3 linked regions of the Oryctolagus cuniculus genome follow. The protein of the gene in region 1 purifies or fractionates together with the protein of each later gene. This does not show direct contact. Links are inferred from orthologs where the notes say so. Each region holds a gene or a part of one and is shown on either strand. Other genes may lie near its edges. The genes, in order: ECD, ZNHIT2 and TSSC4.

Region 1 (3,646 bases):
CAGTCTATTCCTCTAAAAAAGCAGTACAGTAAACAAAGTTAGAGTTTTAAAATATTTTTAAAAGATTATTTATTTAAAAGTCAGAGTTACACGGAGAGAGAAGGAGAGGCAGAGAGAGAGAGAGAGAGAGAGAGAGAGAGAGAGGTCTTCCATTCACTGGTTCACTTCCCAGTTGGCCACAACAGCTGGAGCCATGCCGATCCAAAGCCAGGAGCCAGGAGCTTCTTCCAGGTCTCCCACATGGGAGCAGGGACTCAAGGATTGGGCCACTTTCTACTGTTTTCCCAGGCCATAGCAGAGAGCTGGATCAGAAGTGGAGCAGCCAGGACTCAAAATGGTGCCCCCATACGTGATGCCAGCACTGTAGGCGGTGGCTTTACCGGCTATGTCACAGTGTCGGCCCTGACTTCTACTTGTTTAAGCTTCAAAATCTGCAAGTTTGCAGTCAGTACTGTGGCATAGTAGATAAAGCTGCAGCTTGCGGCGCTGGCATCCCATATGGGTGCCAGTTCAAGACCAGCTGCTCCACTTCCGATCCGGCTCCCTGCTAATGTGCCTAAGAAAGCAGCACAGGATGGCCCAAGCAGTTGAGTCCCTGCATCCGGAAGAATCTCCTGGCTCCTGACTTCAGATTGGCTCTGCTCTGGCTGTTGCAGCCATTTGGGAAGTGAATCAGTGGACAGATCTTCTCTCCATTTCTCTTCCTCTCTCTCTAACTCTGCCTTTCAAATAAATGAATAAATCTTCAGAAAAAACAGTCTGTAAGTTTGTTAGTCAATTTCATAAAGAGGGATGCAGACAATATAGGAATTAGCATTAATTCCATTAATCTAGGTGAAAAACTTGAGCTGCACTAAAACAAAAGGCTCCTTAACGAGCAACGGAAGTGGTGTCTTTCTTACCCTCTGATGCGCCTGTTTACAGCAGCTCGTATAGATTCTGAAGCCACAACTTTTTCCAGATGTGTTGAGATTATATCCAATGCCTGTGGGATTGTTGGGGGTGAAGTGGGTAACCAGGATTCTGCTCCAGGTTTCCTTGGTGCAGGAATAATGCACAACTCCCCATGGTGGAAAAACACCTGGAAAATGGTACATTTTAATTTTCATAGTGGGCAATGGCAAATTCTAGGTACATATGAAAATAATGCAAAATATTTTTATGCTTGTAATTTTTCTAAACAGATAAACTTACCCTGTTGGCACTATTATCAGGATCTAACCATTTAGGGAGAAAGTCAGCAGCTTCTATTAACAAGAATTCACCATCATTGTCTTCAATCCTAATGCAAAAGAAGTTGCAATTCGGCATTCAAAAACAACACATTTGTTAGCAAACAGAACAGTTTCATGCTAATATATTTCTCCTTCTTCTTTGTAAATATTTGAGAATGCACTATGTGCTGACTGCTCTAAGAAAGTACAATATTTGGAACACCATCATTAAGCACTGAAAGAAACTATAAGATATTAAGGAAAGGATGGACAGTCTAGAGGAAAAGATGTCCATGTCTCACATTTCAGTGCCTGGCTCCAGCATCTGACTACAACTTCCTTCTAATGCAGACCTGGGGAGGCAATGGTGATAGCTCAAGTAATTAGGGTCCTGCAACCCACATGGGAGACCGGAATTGAGTTTCTAGCACTGGCTTTGGCTTGGCCCAGTACTAGCTATTGGGACCATACAGGAATGAACCAGCAGATGGGAGCTTTTTCTGTCTCTGCCTCTTAAACAAATAAATAAATAAACACATTTTTAAAAAGATTATAAGGAGAGATTAGAGAAAGATGGTAAAATGAGAAAAAAGTTGATAAATAATCATAAACAATACCAGATGAAAATGTGAAAACACACAAAATAATTTTATAGGATTTCAAAAGAAGAAAAAAAAACAGGAAAGATTAGGAAAATCCGTATGTAAGAGGTGTTATTTGGGCCTTGAAAGATAAATTCTTTTGCTCCATATGTTATCACTTCTTTTGTACAGGTAATACATGCACATGATCAAAAATATTTTAAAATATGTAAAAAGTTAAAGAATGAAAAAGTCTTCATGTTACTTCTGAACCTAGTGGCTAAATTCCTATCCCCCTCACTGCTGGTTCTTTTACATGCTTCTACAGTTTGCTTATGTTTAATCTAACTAGCAGAAATGCATACTCTTTTTTCTTAATTAAATAAGTTTTCGTTTATTTGAAACACAGAGACAGTGAGAGAAACAAAGACACAGACAGTCCTCTCACCAGCTGGTTTGCTCCTCAAATGCCCACGCCCAGTATATTCTTATTCTCCCTTCTTTTTACACAAAAGATAGTATATTTTACATACCATCCTGTCATTTTACACTTAAAACTTTTCTTTTTTATTTGAGTCACAAAGACAGAGTTCTCATTCACTGGTTCACTTCCCAAATACTCCTAACAGCAGGGCTGGGGCAGGTTGAAGCCAGAAGCTGGTTACTTAATCCAGGTGTCCCACTTAAGTGGCAGGAATCCAACTACTTGAACTATCACTGCTGCCTGCCTGGATCTGCAGGAGCAGGATGCTGAAATCAGAAGCATAATCAGGACTTAAACCCAGGCACTCTGATATAAGACAAACGTTTCCCAACTGGTGTCTTAACCACTAAGCCAAAGACTGAAGCCTGCCCTGTCTTTTTTTTCCACTATTAATGTGTAGAGAGATAAAGAGAAAGGAGAACTGTTCTTGGAGGCTAGAGGCAACAGCGTAAGCAAAACCCTGGAGGGCTTTATTAGTCACTTAAGGTAGATACTGGGAGAACAAAAACTTTAGTGAAGAACAAGACAAAAAAAGCACAGTGATATCACCGTGTGAACAGCTTTAAAAATCCTTGGCAAAACTAATGAGAATGTGCATGGCTTTTAGGCAAAAAAAAGTTTTTTTTTTATTTTATTTTATTTTTTACACCAACAAAGCAAAGAGAAAAAAGTTAAAGGTTTTAGAGCAGGGTAGTAAAATGATTAGAACTGTAACTGAGAACTATTAATCTGGCAGGGACATAGAGGAAGTATCCTGTCTTTTTTATTTTTTTCTAAAAAACTGAGAAAACAGTCAATGCTTAGAATTTAAAGAGCTCTATGGACTTGTTAAAATATGAACCATCATTTTATAAACAAACATCTGCATATAAGAGGTATCCCCCCTACCATTATTGCTGTAAAAATATAAACTGTTTTAGTTATTGCTTATTTAAAAATCTCATTTGCCCCTTTAAATATCATTACTTAGATATTATTGCTGGGGTTAGGTGCTAAGTACAGGCATTAAGACATGGCTTAGGACAACCACATCTCATACTGGAACAACTGGGTTTCAGTATGATTCTACTCGTGATTCCAGCTTCCTGCTATTGTACTTTCTGGGAGGCAGCAGGTGATGGTTGAAGTAGTCAAGTCCCTGTTATTCAGGTGGGAAACTTGGATTGAGTTCCTGGCTCCTGGCTTTGGCCTGATCCAGCTCTGGCTGTTGTAGGTATTTGGAGAGTGAGTCAGCAGATCTCTATTTTTCTTTCAAATAAATAAATAATTTTCAAAAAGATATTATTGCTAATTATTTTAGGCATGGTACCAGTGTTTAAATGAGTGCTTTACTGTACAACAGGATTAATACAGTTAATAACAATGTA
Region 2 (2,699 bases), on another chromosome or scaffold:
TGACCCGCCCCCTGCCCGTCTCTCCTCAGACCTGGAGACCATCCCCACGGCCACGGGGCGGAGGCTGCTGGTGTCTGGGTGGTGGGGGATGGTCCGCCACCCCAACTACCTCGGGGACCTCCTCATGGCCCTGGCCTGGTCCCTGCCCTGCGGTGAGTGCCCCGGCGGAGGGGCGGCCCCCGCTGGCCCTGGGCCTCCCCCGCCCGGCCGGACAGCGTGGAGACCCTTGCGGCCCCTCCCCGCAGGGCTGTCGCACCTGCTGCCCTACTTCTACATCATCTACTTCACGGCGCTGCTGGTGCACCGGGAGGCCCGCGACGAGCGGCAGTGCCTGCAGAAGTACGGCCGCGCGTGGCTGGAGTACTGCCGGCGCGTGCCGCACCGCATCGTGCCCTACGTCTACTGAGCGCCCGCGCCCCGGCGGAGACCCCTCCTCCCCTGCATAAACGGCTCCAAGTCGCCGCCCGCTTCCGTTCCATTCTGGGGCAGGGCAAGGCTGGGACACGCCGTGGGCCCGAGAGCCCGGGGCTGGGCGGGACAACTGAGCTGTCACTCCGGGCAGGGCCAATCTCCGCTTTATTGAGGCCAAGCCCCCCAGGTCAGCCAGGGAGCTCTTCAATGAGAGCCCCTGGGGCAGGTGGGGCGGGGGGCACAGGGCCGCCCCACAGCCGCTCCAGCTCCCCGGCCAGGGCGGCCACCTCCTCCGCGGCCGCCGCGTGCGCGCCGTGCGCCCTGGCGCAGTCCACAGCCAGGGGCCCGAGGGCCGCCTCGTTCTCGTTGGCCCAGGCCAGCAGGTACTGGCACTTTTTCCGGGCGCGGTAGAGGCGATCTCGGTCTTCGCCAGCCGCGGTCTGTTTCCGGGCACGGCCGAGGGTCCGAGCCAGGTGCCCCAGCGCGGCCAGCGTGTAGCCTTTGGGGTCGGCGGGGCCCCGGCCCAGCAGGATGCGGCCGGCCTCTCGCATGGCGCCCCGCGTCCCCAGGGGCCCGGGCGGGTGCTCGCCGGCTTCCAGGACGTGGGCTGCGGCCTGCAGGGCCTCCTCGCTAGAGGCGAAGACTCGCTGGGCGCCCAGCGCTCCGGAAACGCCGAGCAGCGTGGCGCAGAAGTCGGGGAGCAGCGCGTCGTCGCCGCCGCCGTGGTACAGGGCCAGGGCGTGCGCGTAGGCGAACAGCACGTTGGGCAGCTGGAAGCGCACGAGCGGCGAGGCCGGGCTGCGGCTCAGGCTGGCCAGCGCGGGGATGCGGGCGGGCACGGCGGGCGGGCGGGCGGGCTCCGGCTCCAGATCCGGCTCGGGCTCCGCGGCGTCCCCCACCGCCTCCACGAGCCGGGGTCCGTCCCCGCGCCCCCACCACCACGGCCGCCAGGGAGGCAGCAGCCGCCCGGCCTCGCCGCGGCTCAGCAGCCGCTCGAAGGCCGCTTTCTCGGCAGGTGCCAGCCGCTCCCAGAGTCCCGAAAGTCCGCCGGGTGCGGGGCCCGGGCTGAGGCCTGCTACCTCGGGCTCGTCCTCGGTCTCGCGTTGCTCACGCAGCCGGCGCAGGGCGCTGGCCAGGCGGCTGGGCGAGGCGCTGCGGCCGCGAAGCTCCCCCAGCACCTGGTCGCGGTAGAAGTCCTCGGCGCAGGGCCCGTGCGCCCGATAGCAGCGCAGCGAGCAGTAGGGCGCATTGCAGCGCGGGCAGGTGTAGCGCGCGGCCCGCGTCTCCCCAACCGGGCAGAAGCCGCACGGCCCGGCCGGCTCCATGGCAACTGGCAGCGCATGCGCGCCGCGGACGTCACGCGCGCCGCGGGCCAACTTCCGGCGCCTCCTCGGTTACTTCCGCTTCGTCGCGGAGCCTTCCGAGCGTTAGTCCATGCCAGGCTGACAAGGGCTCTCGGCAACTTCCGCCCACACTCGGAAGCCCCGCCCCCTTTGCAGCGCTAGGGCGCCACGAGTGTCCCGTCTGTGCCAGCCCGCCCCCTGGTGGTCGCACCGCAAAACTGAGCAGTGCCGGCTGAAATCATTTTTTATTTTTTTTTATTTTTTTTATTTTTTTATTTTATTTTTTTTTTTATTTTTTGACAGGCAGAGTGGACAGTGAGAGAGAGAGAGAGAGAGAGAGAAAGGTCTTCCTTTTGCCGTTGGATCACCCTCCAATGGCCGCCGCTGCAGCTGGCGCACCGCGCTGATCCGATGGCAGGAGCCAGGATCCAGGTGCTTTTCCTGGTCTCCCATGGGGTGCAGGGCCCAAGCACCTGGGCTATCCTCCACTGCACTCCCTGGCCATAGCAGAGAGCTGGCCTGGAAGAGGGGCAACCGGGACAGAATCCGGCGCCCCAACCGGGGCTAGAACCCGGTGTGCCGGCGCCGCAAGGTGGAGGATTAGCCTATTGAGCCACGGCGCCGGCTTGAAATCATTTTTTTAAAAGATTTATTTATTTGAAAGAGTTACAAAGAGAGAGGAGAGGCAGAGAGAGAGGTCTTCCAGCCGCTGGTTCACTCCCTAATGGGCCACATCAGCCGGAGCTGCGCCGATCCAAAGCCAGGAGTCAGGAGCTTCTTCCAGGTCTCCCACGGGTACAGGGGCCCAAGCATTTGGGCCATCTTCGGCTGCTTTCTCAGGCCATAGCAGAGAGCTGGATCGGAAGTGGAGCAGCCGGGACTCGAACCAGCGCCCACGGGGGATGCCAGGACTGCAGGCGGCAGCTTTACCCACTATGCCATGGC
Region 3 (3,746 bases), on another chromosome or scaffold:
CCCCAGCAGACCTGGGGAACCCACCCTTTGTCCCCCATGGCCCATGCTGGGCTGGAGTCCTGGCACAAGACCCCAGATGCCGGCTCTGCACCCCGTCCTGACAGTCTGGGTGGGGCACAGCCAGAGGCGAGCGTGGGCACGGCTACAGGACCACTCAGGCCTGTCCGGCACCATGCTGGACTCCTGTGGCCTGACCCCAGCCCAGGGGGACCCCTCAGCCCCTCCAGGCCGGCACTGTGCGCAGCAGGTAAAGCCGCCTCCTGTATGTGTGGTTCCAGTCCCGGCTGCTCCACTCTGACCCAACTCCCTGCCGCTGCAGCTGGGAGAGCAGCAGACGGCCCCTGTGCCACTGCGGCTCTCTGGGGAGTGGACCAGTGCACGCAAGACCTCTCTATCTTTCAAAATTAAAAGCAAACAAAAACCCAGAGAAGCGGAACACTGGGGCCGTCACTCTGCAGGGTCCGAGCGGGGCTGGGGGCCCAGGGGGAGTGAGACGACAGACAGGACCCGAGGACACCCAACACCTTTATTGTCACCCATGGAGCCCCGGGCCCCCGGCCGCGGCCCGGCCCGCTCACCCCTCAGCCGCTGGGCCCTCGCAGCCGCTGCCCCTGTTCCGGAAGTGCTCCCGGCTCCGCTTCCTGGCGCCGTGGAAGCCGACGGCGTCCAGGCCGGGGGGCCCTGGCGAGGCCCCTCTGTGGGCAGCCGCGGGGGACGCGTCTTCCTCCTGCAGGCCGCCGGGGGTGCCGCCCCTCTCCTCGGCCTCTGGGCTCCCGGGCCCGGCCAGGTGGGGCAGCTCCACCGCCTCGGTCCCCGGGAGGCCCCTGCCCGGCTGCGCGCCCTGCCCCAGGCCCCTCTTCCTCTCGGGCCTGGGCTCGCGGGCTCGGGCCGGTCTGGTGAAGACCACCCTGCCCTCCCCGCAGCTGGAGGAGTCCTGGTTGAAGGCGGGCGCGCAGGCGGCGGGGGCGGCCGGGCCCCGCGCGCCCAGGAAGGCCAGCGCCGCCGCCCGGTTGCTCTGCTCGCTGGCCTCGGCCACGTCCTCGAGGCTGTACCTGGTCCAGCGCTCCGGGTGCGCCACGTAGTCGGGGACACGCGGGCCCCTGGGGGCGCCGGCCGCCCCCTCCAGGCCGTCAAAGACGCTGTGGCTGCGCCGGGAGAAGGCGGAGCTCGTGCCCCGGAGGCAGAACGGCTGGGCCGCAGGGGCGGGGGGCGCCGGGGGCGGCGAGGGGGGCTCGGAGTCCTCTGAGTCCGCGGGCAGGTCTACACACGGCGCGGCCGCCTCGGCACCGCCAGAGCTGAGGTCCGAGTCCGAGTCCGAGCCCGAGTCGCTGGGGAAGTCGGCGTCGTCGGGGGGCGCGGCGTCCCCCTCGGCCCCCGCCTGGGCCATGGCCCCGTCCCACGGCACCTGCGGGGAAGCAGCCCGCGGGGAGGGGGCAGCTCAGGGTCGCCGGCCCACGCGGCCGCAGCAGCGGGCCCCTCCCCGGCCCGGCTCTCACCTCCCCCGTCCGCCCACGGAGGTCCTCGGTGGCCCCGGCGTGGGCTCCTCGGTGGCCTCGGCTCCGCTGCTCAGACGGGGCTGGGTGAGGGGCGGGGGACAGAGCCCGCGTCAGAGCGCGGGGCCGGCCGCAAGCTGCCTGGGACGAGGCGGAGCCCAGGGCTGGGCCCCAGGGCCCGGGCCGCGGCCACCCCGGCGGGGTCGGGCTCGCGAGCGCGCTCAAGGGTCAGCTCGAGCGGCCTTGCTGGGCAGAGGCCGCCCCCGCGGCCCCGGACACGACCCCCACCCGCGCTCCCGAGGGGCTGGCTGCAGGACAGCCCGGGCGCACCCTCCACACGGCGCTCCCCGCCTCGGGCCGACCCAGGCGCGGCGCAGCACCTCCTCCCGCGGAGCAGCCGCAGGAGGAGCGCTGGGCCCAGCAGGGACCGCGGCGAGCGCGCCCTGGGCTGGGGAGGCCGGGATCCCGCGACCGGGCCGAGGGGCAGCGGCTCTAGCTGCCTCCGGCCGCCTCTGCCGCGGAGCAGAGCACACCTTCGCCGTGTCAGGGCGGCCGCGCAGAGGGCCCTCCCGGACTTACCGGCTCCTCGTGCCGGCCGCCTTCATTCGGGTTCCCCGCCGGCCGCGCTCAGCCTTTTGGGAAACCGAGTCCCCCGCTAGCCGCGCACTGTGGCCTCCGCGACCGAAGAACTACATCTCCCATAAGCCACCGGGCCTCAGCTCCCGAGCCCTGACGGGACGTGTGCCCCAGTGCGCATGCGCCCACGCCCTTCTCCTTACACCTCCAAGCCCTGCGCCAGGAGCGGGTTCCGGAAACGGAAAAGGCCTAGCGTTGACACGGAGGAAGGGGCGGAGCCAACCGCCACTCCCAGAATGCTCGACTAACGGCGAGGCGCAGGCCTCTCGGAGTTTTAGTGCCACCTACCGGGAGGTGCGGAGACAGCAGCCGACGTAGACAGGAAGTGCGTCATCGCGCACGGTGGAGCAGAAGCCCTTGCCCGCACTTCCGGCCTTCCGAAAGCGGAAGTCGCTGCCCCTTCCCGGGTCCATCCGTCAATGCCCGGGGCGGGCCTGGCAGCCACTGAGCTTGTGGGCTGCGCTGGACGTCGGGAGCCTCTGACGATGTTTCTCCGGTTCCCCGGCCCTCAGGGACAGGCGCGCGGAGCGCTGCCCAGCGGCCCAGGCAGCCGGGGCTGGGCGTGGCCATCCTGGGCAGGTCCGGCCCCGGGCTCTCCCAGACAGGCCTCTCGCTGGCCACCAGGCCCCAAGTGGGCAGCGCCTTTTGCCCCCGTTTCTGCTGGGGCTGCTCGGTGCCCGCCAGACCCCAGCTCCTGAGTCCCTCTCCTGCGGGGGCCTGCTGTCCTGGCACTCACGGGGAGACCGGCGTCTAAGGACCCCGGGGGGGCCAGCCGCGGACAGCAGGCGGGTCATGCACGGCCCAGGCACCTCTGGGACACCCACCCTGTCCTGGCAGCCCCGGGGCCCCAGGCCCTGCACGTCCAGAGGCCAGCCTGGGCCAGCACGGCCCGGGGGGAGTGGAGGGGACTCCTCGCTGCACCTAGTTCTCCCAGGCAACCCTGTCCCCCAGGGGCTGGGAGCAGCAGGAGCCCCCGCCCTCCGCAGGGCCAGCCTCAGTCCTCCCTGGCTGCTGTCCAGGCCGAGGCGGGGCCTTTGCTCTGGCTGCTCCGAGATGCTGCTGAGGCCCGGGGGGCCACCCACGTCTCAGCAGACCTGGGGCCTGCTGCCCGCAGGGAGCCCGGAGCCCGGCCGCCCCCTCCCGCAGCCCGGTGTGCCCCAGGGGCGGTCACCCGCGGAACGCTCCCTGGGTCCTGGTCCCGTCCGCTCCGCGCGGGCTCGGCACAGTCCAGACCCCTCTGTCCCCAGCGCCCCACCCACTGAGACCCCACCGGCCAGGACCGGCGGCCAGCGCGTTAGCATGCCCGATGTCTCCTCCTTTATTACAGACTGTGTCCAGCTGCGGGCGTTACAGTTGAAGGTGACGTTAGAAAGGACAGGTGCTCCCGGAACAGGCAGGAAAGCAACAGGATTAAGAAGGCCCGGCCCCCCTCGGCAGGTGCCCCTGGCACGCGGCGTCAGCCACAGGGGCTCCGGGGGAGACGCAGAGCCCGGAGAGCCGGCAGCTGCGTGCGGAGCGAGCGGGGTGGCTCTGTACAGGCGGCGGGGGCGGCGGGGGCAGCGCGGCCTCAGTACACGGAGCTGTTCCTGATGCCGCAGCACAGCACCATGCTCAGAA

Evidence for each region.
Region 2: the proteins of ECD (region 1) and ZNHIT2 purify together in Homo sapiens (affinity purification with mass spectrometry; 3 studies listed by BioGRID and IntAct, counting the BioPlex papers as one, with this or other methods). This does not show direct contact. The link is inferred for Oryctolagus cuniculus from reciprocal best matches to the Homo sapiens genes ECD and ZNHIT2.
Region 3: the proteins of ECD (region 1) and TSSC4 purify together in Homo sapiens (affinity purification with mass spectrometry; 3 studies listed by BioGRID and IntAct, counting the BioPlex papers as one, with this or other methods). This does not show direct contact. The link is inferred for Oryctolagus cuniculus from reciprocal best matches to the Homo sapiens genes ECD and TSSC4.

Annotation. Positions count from the first base shown.
Region 1 is NC_091446.1:64,309,936-64,313,581, forward strand, and holds part of ECD (protein ecdysoneless homolog), read right to left. Parts: intron 1,283-3,646; coding exon 1,195-1,282; intron 1,082-1,194; coding exon 903-1,081; intron 1-902. UniProt on the Homo sapiens protein: Regulator of p53/TP53 stability and function. Inhibits MDM2-mediated degradation of p53/TP53 possibly by cooperating in part with TXNIP. May be involved transcriptional regulation. In vitro has intrinsic transactivation activity enhanced by EP300.
Region 2 is NC_091432.1:6,443,128-6,445,826, reverse strand, and holds ZNHIT2 (zinc finger HIT domain-containing protein 2), read right to left. Parts: upstream 1,771-2,699; 5' UTR 1,737-1,770; coding exon 600-1,736; 3' UTR 559-599; downstream 1-558. Other genes in the region: delta(14)-sterol reductase TM7SF2, read left to right, coding at 30-152, 246-406. UniProt on the Homo sapiens protein: May act as a bridging factor mediating the interaction between the R2TP/Prefoldin-like (R2TP/PFDL) complex and U5 small nuclear ribonucleoprotein (U5 snRNP).
Region 3 is NC_091432.1:1,159,010-1,162,755, forward strand, and holds TSSC4 (U5 small nuclear ribonucleoprotein TSSC4), read right to left. Parts: upstream 2,550-3,746; 5' UTR 2,464-2,549; coding exon 2,418-2,463; exon of another isoform or gene 1,577-2,417; coding exon 1,497-1,576; exon of another isoform or gene 1,406-1,496; coding exon 575-1,405; 3' UTR 508-574; downstream 1-507. Other genes in the region: CD81 antigen, read right to left, coding at 3,697-3,746. UniProt on the Homo sapiens protein: Protein associated with the U5 snRNP, during its maturation and its post-splicing recycling and which is required for spliceosomal tri-snRNP complex assembly in the nucleus.